3 linked regions of the Saccharomyces cerevisiae S288C genome follow. Changing the gene in region 2 together with the main gene of any one other region gives a genetic interaction. Each region holds a gene or a part of one and is shown on either strand. Other genes may lie near its edges. The genes, in order: DET1, BRE4 and NBA1.

Region 1 (3,612 bases), 520 kb from region 2:
GGCTGCCAGATTTCTGAAAAATCTTGATGTTGATTTGGATCATTTGAGCAAGACTAAATCTGCTTCTTTAGCTGCGCCCACATTGTCCAATCTTCTACACAATGAAAAATTATATGGACCAACGGATAGAGACCCCAGAACTAAAAGAGACGATATTCACTACTTTAAATATCCTCATGTATACCTTTATGACCTATGGCAAACTTGGGCCCCCATAATAACTTTGGAATGGAAACCTCAAGAACTAACAAACTTAGACGAACTACCTTACCCAATATTGAAAATAGGTTCATTCGGAAGATGCCCTTTTATAGGGGATAGGAATTATGACGAAAGTTCTTATAAGCGCGTAGTAAAGAGATACTCGAGAGACAAAGCAAACAAAAAATATGCACTGCAACTTCGTGCTCTATTTCAATATCATGCCGACACCTTACTGAATACGTCATCAGTTAATGATCAAACGAAAAACCTAATATTCATACCTCACACATGCAACGATTCTACCAAGAGCTTCAAAAAATGGATGCAAGAAAAGGCAAAAAATTTTGAGAAGACCGAGTTAAAGAAGACGGATGATAGCGCAGTTCAAGATGTTCGTAATGAACATGCTGACCAAACCGATGAAAAAAATAGTATATTATTAAATGAAACTGAAACCAAAGAGCCTCCGTTGAAAGAAGAAAAAGAAAATAAACAATCTATAGCAGAAGAATCGAATAAGTACCCACAGCGAAAAGAGCTGGCTGCCACACCAAAACTAAACCATCCAGTATTAGCTACTTTTGCAAGGCAAGAAACTGAAGAAGTGCCGGATGATTTGTGCACTTTGAAAACAAAGTCACGTCAGGCATTTGAAATCAAAGCAAGTGGTGCACATCAATCTAATGATGTGGCAACCTCTTTTGGCAATGGTTTGGGCCCAACAAGAGCAAGCGTCATGAGTAAGAACATGAAGTCATTAAGTAGACTAATGGTTGATAGAAAGCTGGGAGTAAAGCAGACAAATGGAAATAACAAAAATTATACAGCCACTATAGCAACTACTGCTGAAACATCAAAGGAAAATAGACACAGATTAGATTTTAATGCTTTGAAAAAAGACGAAGCCCCTTCGAAAGAGACGGGCAAAGATAGTGCTGTACACTTAGAAACTAATAGAAAGCCCCAGAATTTCCCTAAGGTAGCTACCAAATCAGTCTCCGCAGACTCCAAAGTTCATAATGACATCAAGATAACAACCACAGAATCTCCAACAGCATCGAAGAAATCAACTTCCACAAACGTCACCTTACATTTTAACGCACAGACAGCACAGACAGCACAGCCGGTGAAGAAAGAAACGGTAAAAAATTCCGGATACTGTGAAAATTGTCGTGTAAAATACGAATCTTTAGAACAACACATAGTTTCTGAGAAGCATTTGTCTTTCGCTGAAAACGATTTAAATTTTGAGGCTATTGACTCGTTAATTGAAAATCTCAGATTTCAAATATAGGGACACGACGTAAAGTGCAGTAGCTTTTAGTGATAAAATCAAAATAGTATTGTTCCGTTTCCATTGCTGCTCGGAACAAAAAAGCTATCAACGGCAATGTTATTGAATCACTTTCTCATTCACCCTTGTTACTTTCTTGCTATTGACTTAACTCTTATTTACTCGTCCATATATTATCAATTGCATATATATACATATACATATATATATTATCATCTAGATTAATTACCGTTCATATCATAACTCATTCTGAACAAATAATGATCGAGTACCCACCGCGGTTAATGTCCCAGTTTTCATTTTTACCCGATATCCTGCAGAGACCGAGAGGCATGAAAAAAAAAAAGCTAGTTCTCAACTGCATTAATTGCAGCTCGTATTCATGGTTCAACATAAAAGAACTTACGCTACAGCATTCCATTTGAATAACTCAGAGTATTAGTAAAAGAAATGTGTGAAGAGAATGTTCATGTTAGTGAAGATGTTGCTGGCAGTCACGGTTCTTTTACGAATGCCAGACCTAGGTTAATTGTACTAATAAGGCATGGGGAAAGCGAATCAAATAAAAACAAGGAGGTCAATGGTTATATTCCTAACCATCTGATTTCTTTAACGAAAACAGGTCAAATCCAAGCTAGACAAGCTGGTATTGACTTATTACGTGTTTTAAACGTAGACGATCACAACTTGGTGGAGGATTTGGCTAAGAAGTATATTAAAGATGAAAGTAGCAGGAGAACTTTACCGCTGAAGGACTATACCAGGCTGAGTAGAGAAAAAGACACAAACATAGTTTTTTATACATCACCCTATAGAAGAGCAAGGGAAACATTGAAAGGTATTTTGGACGTCATCGATGAATATAATGAATTAAACAGTGGTGTTCGTATATGTGAAGATATGAGATATGATCCACATGGTAAACAGAAACATGCATTTTGGCCGAGAGGACTTAATAATACTGGTGGTGTTTACGAAAATAATGAAGATAATATTTGTGAAGGGAAGCCTGGAAAATGTTATCTGCAATATCGGGTTAAGGATGAGCCAAGAATAAGGGAACAAGATTTTGGTAATTTCCAAAAAATCAATAGCATGCAGGACGTTATGAAGAAGAGATCTACGTATGGTCATTTCTTCTTCAGATTCCCTCATGGAGAAAGTGCGGCAGATGTATATGACAGAGTCGCCAGTTTCCAAGAGACTTTATTCAGGCACTTCCATGATAGGCAAGAGAGAAGACCCAGAGATGTTGTTGTCCTAGTTACACATGGTATTTATTCCAGAGTATTCCTGATGAAATGGTTTAGATGGACATACGAAGAGTTTGAATCGTTTACCAATGTTCCTAACGGGAGCGTAATGGTGATGGAACTGGACGAATCCATCAATAGATACGTCCTGAGGACCGTGCTACCCAAATGGACTGATTGTGAGGGAGACCTAACTACATAGTGTTTAAAGATTACGGATATTTAACTTACTTAGAATAATGCCATTTTTTTGAGTTATAATAATCCTACGTTAGTGTGAGCGGGATTTAAACTGTGAGGACCTTAATACATTCAGACACTTCTGCGGTATCACCCTACTTATTCCCTTCGAGATTATATCTAGGAACCCATCAGGTTGGTGGAAGATTACCCGTTCTAAGACTTTTCAGCTTCCTCTATTGATGTTACACCTGGACACCCCTTTTCTGGCATCCAGTTTTTAATCTTCAGTGGCATGTGAGATTCTCCGAAATTAATTAAAGCAATCACACAATTCTCTCGGATACCACCTCGGTTGAAACTGACAGGTGGTTTGTTACGCATGCTAATGCAAAGGAGCCTATATACCTTTGGCTCGGCTGCTGTAACAGGGAATATAAAGGGCAGCATAATTTAGGAGTTTAGTGAACTTGCAACATTTACTATTTTCCCTTCTTACGTAAATATTTTTCTTTTTAATTCTAAATCAATCTTTTTCAATTTTTTGTTTGTATTCTTTTCTTGCTTAAATCTATAACTACAAAAAACACATACATAAACTAAAAATGGCTAGAACTTTCTTTGTCGGTGGTAACTTTAAATTAAACGGTTCCAAACAATCCATTAAGGAAATTGTTGAAA
Region 2 (3,759 bases):
TTGGTTCTTGGCAGCATCACCAATCAATCTTTCTTCTGGAGTGAAAGCAACGAAAGATGGGGTGACTCTGTTACCTTGTTCGTTGGCAATAATTTCAACGGAGGATTCGTAAGTAGCAACACAAGAGTAGGTTGTACCTAAATCGATACCGATAGCACCTTGGAAAACACCTTCAGCCATTTTGTTCAATTAAAATACTGTAATGATCTTGGGACATCTGAAAATCCAAAAGCAAGAAACATTTTTTAAAGAAGGAAAAGCAAAGCGACAATAACTAATTAATCTTTATATAAAAAGAGATGAGTACTACAAAAGAAACGTCGAGCGAAGATGAAAAATTTTTCTTTTTTTTTTTTTCAGTTGCGTGCTATAAAAAAAAAAAAAAAAAGATTCATCCATACTTCCCGTTCGAAATGATCATAAATAACTGCGGTGTATGGGCTATGTTCCCATGACAACGAAGCTAGAATATAATTATAAGGATGAATAAGTATTGTTATTGAAAAAATGCACAATTAGGAACTTTTATATAGCTGTCTATTGGTTCACGGAAAGACTGTTAAGATACTTGGCAGCATGGTAGATAAATAGGAACTGATCCTTTGTCTGAACCATTTTCATTCTTTGCGAGCGCAACTGTAACACGATCTGTTCGATCAAGTCCCGTGTGTACTCCTCTGTAGCCCTGTCTGAATGCCTTGACCGTTCTGTAATATTTTTAAAATCCAAGGTATCATGCATGAGATGATCTAGGGCAATGAACGTCCCCGTTCTGCCCACGCCTGCGGAACAGTGTACGATAATGGGGTTCCCGCGGGAATTCAAGCTGTGGGAGTGAGCGCATAATTCCATTATGGGTACTACTTCCTCTGGCTTGTTCATATCTTTCCAAAGGTCGAAGTAAAAGTGGTGAACAGTTTTGACAGGTCCTACAAGAGGGTCCGTGGGTGTGAGTTTGATATCGGTGACCGTATAATAGTCCTTCACCTTATGTACGTTAACAAACTCTATTTTCAAATCAGAGGGAAATTGAGTCATATCATTGGCGCCGCCCGGACTTTCCCATTTTGATGCTATTCTAACCGTATCGTCTACACCACCGCGAGGCCAGTACTGGTAGCACTTCTCCCTATTGTATTCTACCAGAGGCGTGACCATCACAATGACAATATTGTCTAAAGGACAATTGTGATAGCACATTTGCCAAAACTGATCCCAAGTTTTACGCGTGGGACCTTGAGTAGCAATATAGTAGCCCGGTTCGATGCTCTGCCCTGGCACGTTCACTTTGACATACGAGGCATTAATGTAATCATTCCCGGATAGAGTCTTCAAATGAACGCGGTTCCTCTCATACGGCATAATGTTAACGTATCTGTTTCTAGCATCGTTACGAGGTTCTATGCTGACCCCCAACGACCATCGTGAATTCACCGTTCCGTTTGTAGCTTCCCTTAATCTGCCGTCTTCTTGATTCTGTATGAACTTGAATTTACCCAATAAATCCGTGTCACGCTGTCTAATATACCATGGTGCAGCTGCCATCTCCACTGTCGCAAACTACTACTAACAAACGCTTTTCTTGATAACTCCTCGATGAACCCTTTTCCTCAATAAAATGTAAATATAGTTTGCCTTCCTCTTAATAGTGTGTACAAATGAATTTTTCTAATACTAAACGCCCTAAAAATGACCTAATTAAATATTACGTTAACCTAAAAAAGTACAAAGAAAAAAATGGAACACCTACAAATTATAAACAATAACCCTGTCGCCCAAAGTTAGGTTTCCGATAAGACTTTTCAGTGAACAAAATCTGGAAATGAAAGGCGATATAACATTATCAAAGATGATTATGTATAGATTGCGTGAAATACGCGCAGGAAAACGAGTTTAAGCGTCACTAACACTTTAATCAATTTAAAGTTCATTTTTAACTTGCTTTGTGCTCCACTAAGGAAAGCATGTACAGTATAGTGCTGGAATTGTAACAGGTCCTCATGAAAAGATATGAGCGAGATCGAAGTCCCACTCCTGATCCTGATATTGTGAAAGGTTCATACTCTCAAACATCACTCAGGTCACTACATGAACTTAACTATAAGAATCCTGCCGGTATAAGCGGGCTTAGCTTTGCAGGAAGCCCACAACAATCCGTGGCATCCTTATCGCAAATGCGGCTGGAAAATTTGGTTAAGGACAAACACTGGGAGGAAGTAGAGGACTTTGGGCTGGAAGAGCTGAGAGATGGGTTTTTTGATGCTGCTTTTACCAAGCCGGACAGCAAAGCTAGGTCTCCTAACAGCGACATCGATGACGACAATGGCGCTGCAAGGAAAAAACTGCAATCTGGTTTTACCAAGCTTTCCGAATATGTTTGGACTGCTATCTACAGGCCCATTATTCATTTCCCTAGAGATATTAGAAAAAATGGGGTATCCATATTCAAGTTTTTTATTGCTTATTTCATTGCTATCGTGATTTGCGTTATCAGGCCTTCTGGTAGGTGGATTGGCCATGAGTTCAGGTATTTTCTACCCATCGCAGTACTTATACATCATCCGGTCAGAAATATTGGTGTTCAACTGGAAATGACTATAAGCTCCATTATCGGCGCAAGTTTTGGCCTGGGATGGTCGGCTTTGGCATGGTACATTTCCACAGCGACAAAGCCGACCGCAAACTACCAGGGAGGAATTTTATTTCAGAGTCTGACTATGGCCCTCTTATTTGCCATCTGGCTAAGGTCTGTTTACCGTCGGTTCTTCTATTTCACAACTTCGTTTTCGATATCGATTATATTCACTCATACAGTTCGGTTGGCCTCATCCAAGTTTGATTTGAAGTGGCAAATTTTTTGGGATTTTGGAATCTCATATCTCTTCGGCCTTTTGCTATCTCTCTTGGTTTGTGTATGTGTATCACCACATAGTGGCAATGCAGAGTTAATGGAACATTATAACAAGTGTCTACAGACCACAAAGACCTTTTTAATGGCACTAGTAGATACTGAATTAATAAAGTCCAAAGAACAAATTTACCTAGCCCAAGTAAAAATGGTGAAAACACTAAACATTGATTTATCTCAAGGTTTTAGAGATTTTGTAAATCAGTTGACAATTTCCAGGTTTGACCTTCAATCGTTGAAGAGTTTAAGAAATTCTTTAACTGCCATGGAAACTTCTCTGAGAGTATTACCCATTGCACCCAAAATTTTTAATGATGATGAATTGAAAAAGATGTATGAAGAATTGGAGAAGTATAGATCGGATTCTGCGACCCTGAGCAAAGAAGCAAGCGCTAGCCCTCAATCTTCAGGAATTCCAACAAGAGAAAACACGCCCAGTGCCTTTAAGCCTATCGGTCCGGGGCTTTTAAAAAATGAAATCTACATTAATGCATTAAAGGCGTCCTTCTCGAAAAGCATCTTCAACTTAATACTGGAAATGATCTTCGTTTTGGAAAATCTATCAAGAGTACTAAAGAAATACGAGTCTCCAAATCAAAAAAACAACTTAGATGAGTGTGTCAAAATATTAAGTCACTCGCATTCTAAATTAAAGAGGAAAATTTACAAACTAGATGTTTGTTACAGGGATTTTGTGAATTCTAGTTTTTTTTCACAGGAACTGTTGAATGACGAAGAGTCTGTCGATATTTTCCTTTTTCTAAGATATTTGAGAAACTCCGCAAGGCAGCTAGTTACTGTTATCCACGATTGCCAAGTTTTGGGTGAGAATATTCACTGGAGAATTGCTC
Region 3 (3,731 bases), on a different chromosome or scaffold from region 2:
CATATATTCGAGCATTTCATTCATGTATTTATTAATATGACCAGATAATAAAGAATATTCAATCTCAATTTCTTTAACTTCAACTTCGAAATCTTTTTGTAATTGTTTAATTTCATCATTTAATTTATTGATTTTACCACTGATCAGTTCCTCTTGAATGAAAATGTCCGTTTTGTCAATCTTAGGTTTGATTTCATTTTCATATTTGATTTGTAGATCCATCAATTTAGTATCATTTAGGCGCGACTCTTCTTTAGTATCTTGCGATAGCTTTTCCAAATTCTTGAGTTGCAAATCTAACTGTTCTTGTAAGATTTCTAATTTATACATAATACCTGTTTCCAATACATTCATCAATTTCAGCTTATTGTTGATTAAATTTTGCTTTAATCCCACAAGTTCCGTTTCAGTTCGATTAGACTCTTGCACCTCGCTGGAAATTATTCTCAGCACATCATAGAGCTCACTAATTATGGTTTCGAACGTCGTCACTGTATCTTGCAAGTTTTTCTGTTGTGCGGTTAAGTCGTCTAACGTCTTTTTCCTTTGTATCAACAGATCATTTAGCTCTTTGATTCCCTCGGATAACTCTTCCATGTCTGTATTGGATATTTTGATCAGTTTATCTCGATTGGACTCTAATTCCACTATTTGGAAACTCAGAGCTTCCAGATCTTTAAAGATTGACTGCTTGGAGATCTTATAGTCATTATAATCTATGGATAACGTTTCTTGGATCTTGGTCAATTTCTTCAACTGAATTTCCAGCTCCTTATTTTGCTCTTCCAGCTTTTGGAGCTCTTGCTCATCAGGTATATTATCCCCATCTACGTCCTCGTATTGCTTTAGCTGTTGCTGAATCAAGTTATAATCATCGAATTTGGAGCGAAGCTGACCCAGCAACGATTCCATTTGAAGAATAAAAGAATTACAGTCGAACATTCGTTCCTCCCTAAAACGAGCGTAATTCACCACAGCACTCAGTAAGCGCTGTGTCCGTTGGGCTTCGGGCTTGTACAAATCTGTCATATTGAAATCTTGAACACCTATGTTCTCAAAGAACTTAAAGCAGATTTTGTTCAATACCAAAACATTTAACGTGTCCAAATAAATGTTCTCGTTCTCTTCCTGTAAGTGACCATCCCCTGTTTCTTGGTTACTACTATTCAGCAACGACTCTACAGAAATACCCATGAAGTTCTCGATGATTTGTTTGTAAAGGGTTACCATGTAGTCTGAGGTGGGCCTAGAGATATTTTCCTGTGTGGCTAGCGCAAAATCACAGCTTTGCAAACATATAACTAGTTCCTGTAGATCCAAAATGGGGAACACATCTTGATTCCTACTCATTTTGCTCAAGGGATGCTGGAGCCTTTCTCCTCAGTACATGCTTTTTACCAGTATTTTTTCATAATATTGTTTATTTTAATTGTTATTGTTTGTTACATGTCCCGATTCGGAAAAGCGATCTTTTGATCAAATGGCTGGCACCATCAAGAAGAGAAAGAACGCTGATATATTCGACTAACAAGAAGACCATTATCAAAACCAGATAGGTGTATAAGTATGTCAGAAGAGAGGGAAGAAAACGGGATATCTAGGGCTACGCTGAATACGCAGCGACTTTCAGCAATGATCGATTCACTGAACAATGAGAAAGATGACAGGCTCTTTCCATCTCCCACAACTACCAGGACAATGATCACAGAGGAAAAGGCGGATCAAAGTGATGTCTTTAAACCACCATCGAGATTGTTGAGATCACCTGCTGGTGACGTTTCGCTGCCACCTGGTGATAACAGATCAAGTATGATTTCCAACTACTCTGGAATTATTCAAGAAGGCGTTGAAGTATCATATGTGGTCAAAAACCGGCAACAGACCCAAGAACGGCGCACAAGTAAGGATTCCAATAGTTTGTACTCCTTGAAAGAGCCCGTGAGCAAGAACGAGTTACCGTCGTTGCCCATGTTGCCTTCAGAAGCGACATTGACAAAACATCTAAGTGATAACCAAAGCACAAAATCGAATACCAATGCAGACGAAATTGTCATTAAACCAGTTACTAATGCCAAACCTGTGGGAAGGTTTAACTCTAACACTTCAAAAAAAGTAGAGGGTCGTGGCTCACTGAAACTGTTATCTAGTCCTCTACGTCAGGAAAAAGTTATGCGTTCCTCTATAGGATCAGGTAATTTGGCCAGCGAGAGCGGATCTTCCACTTATAATACCAAATTCCATCAATCTATTCAAGAGCAGCTCGAAGAAGAAGAGGAAGGAAATGTTAGCGATAAGCTTTCAATTGTTTCCAGTGTCATACCCGAGTTGTATACAACCACCAACGAAGCACCCAAAGCGATAAACCCAATACGTTCTGAAACCAATGACTACAATCCAACTATTCCGCCCAGAAGTAAGGACCGTCCTAGGTCAAGGTTGTTCATCGAAGAAGGTGATGGCGAGGGGGATCTTTTAACCGAAGAAATATTACCAACGCCGGTCCAACCTGGTGGCCACTATAAGAACTCATCTCAGATTTCCACAGTTAGTGAACAAAAATCGGAATCTTACTATTCTGCGGCAACGAGTATGCCTCCAGAGGAAGAGACTTACTTGACAAGACCATTGCCCAGCACACCCAATGAGGATAGCAGAGTTACATCGAATTTGAAACGTGACGACACATTGAAGGCTATTCATGATAGGGCAAATCATACCTCTACTTCGACAAACAAACAAGATGATGACATGTACGAGGACATCATTGAGGAAACGCCCAAGAAAACTAAACTCAAGAAGGATACGAAAAAAAAGCTCAATAAAAAAAAATCTGTGAAGGAATTGCGATCCTTTGATATCGACACACTAAATCAACTGTTGAGTGTGACAAAGGGAACCTTAATCGGGTCTGAATTTGCGCAACTGGGGATGAAAATTGAGGAGAAACGTGCCCTGGAGAGACTAGTAGACTCTTTGTCCAGGTTAACAGCAGACATGGTTCTTGATCCGGACCGCTATGAAGAAGGACTGAAAAGATTAGACAAAGCTACAAAGGCTCTTGAAGGGTTTTGATGGTGCAACAACAATAATAATAGTAATAGTAACAGTGGTAGTAACAATAACAATAACAATATCAATATCAATATCAATAATATATTATAATACTAATAATGAATAATAATAATAGCAATAAGTATAGTATAGTATAGTGGTAATATATAAGTTTCTTTCTCTTCCGGTTTATTTACAAGTCATATACAAATAAAAAAAAGTGATAGTAATTCAATGGCTTGTATTCATTGATACTTGGACAAGTCCGGCATACTTAAAATTTCCTTCTCTTTATTTTCACTGAATTCTTGTAGCTGCTTCAGCAATTTAGAATTGGCCCACTTGTCAGGCAAGGGGCTGGTTTTGAAATTTTTTGTGGCCCAATAGTATATGTCCCAGTCCAACTCATTCAATAGCGAATCGTATTCTTCCAGTTCCTCTTCGTTCATCTTCTTCAAATATTTGGCAGCGAACCCAGATAGCAGCAAGTCCGTCTCCAAGATCCCTCTTTTGCGTGATTGATATATCAACCGAGCTCTTTTCTTATCCAATGGCTCGTTAGTTCTCTTTATGGGGGCAATTTTAATCCTCGTCACCACATCGTCGTGGTCATCTTTATCACTACTAAACCACCTACGACCGCACGACCATGCAGCGGACCCTGTTTGAGAGTTGATAAT

What was found.
Region 1: mutations in BRE4 (region 2) and DET1 together harm fitness more than expected from each alone (negative genetic interaction), as found in Saccharomyces cerevisiae (one large-scale study listed by BioGRID).
Region 3: mutations in BRE4 (region 2) and NBA1 together harm fitness more than expected from each alone (negative genetic interaction), as found in Saccharomyces cerevisiae (one large-scale study listed by BioGRID).

What each region holds. Positions count from the first base shown.
Region 1 is NC_001136.10:556,397-560,008, reverse strand, and holds DET1 (acid phosphatase DET1), read left to right. Parts: upstream 1-1,948; coding exon 1,949-2,953; downstream 2,954-3,612. Other genes in the region: protein serine/threonine kinase activating protein DBF4, read left to right, coding at 1-1,498; triose-phosphate isomerase TPI1, read left to right, coding at 3,537-3,612. UniProt on the Saccharomyces cerevisiae protein: Metal-independent, broad-range acid phosphatase. Involved, either directly or indirectly, in the bidirectional transport of sterols between the endoplasmic reticulum and the plasma membrane.
Region 2 is NC_001136.10:40,486-44,244, reverse strand, and holds the start of BRE4 (Bre4p), read left to right. Parts: upstream 1-2,000; coding exon 2,001-3,759. Other genes in the region: Hsp70 family ATPase SSB1, read right to left, coding at 1-180; tyrosine protein phosphatase PTP1, read right to left, coding at 538-1,545.
Region 3 is NC_001147.6:196,561-200,291, reverse strand, and holds NBA1 (Nba1p), read left to right. Parts: upstream 1-1,566; coding exon 1,567-3,072; downstream 3,073-3,731. Other genes in the region: kinetochore-associated Ndc80 complex subunit NUF2, read right to left, coding at 1-1,350; succinate dehydrogenase assembly factor SDH5, read right to left, coding at 3,297-3,731.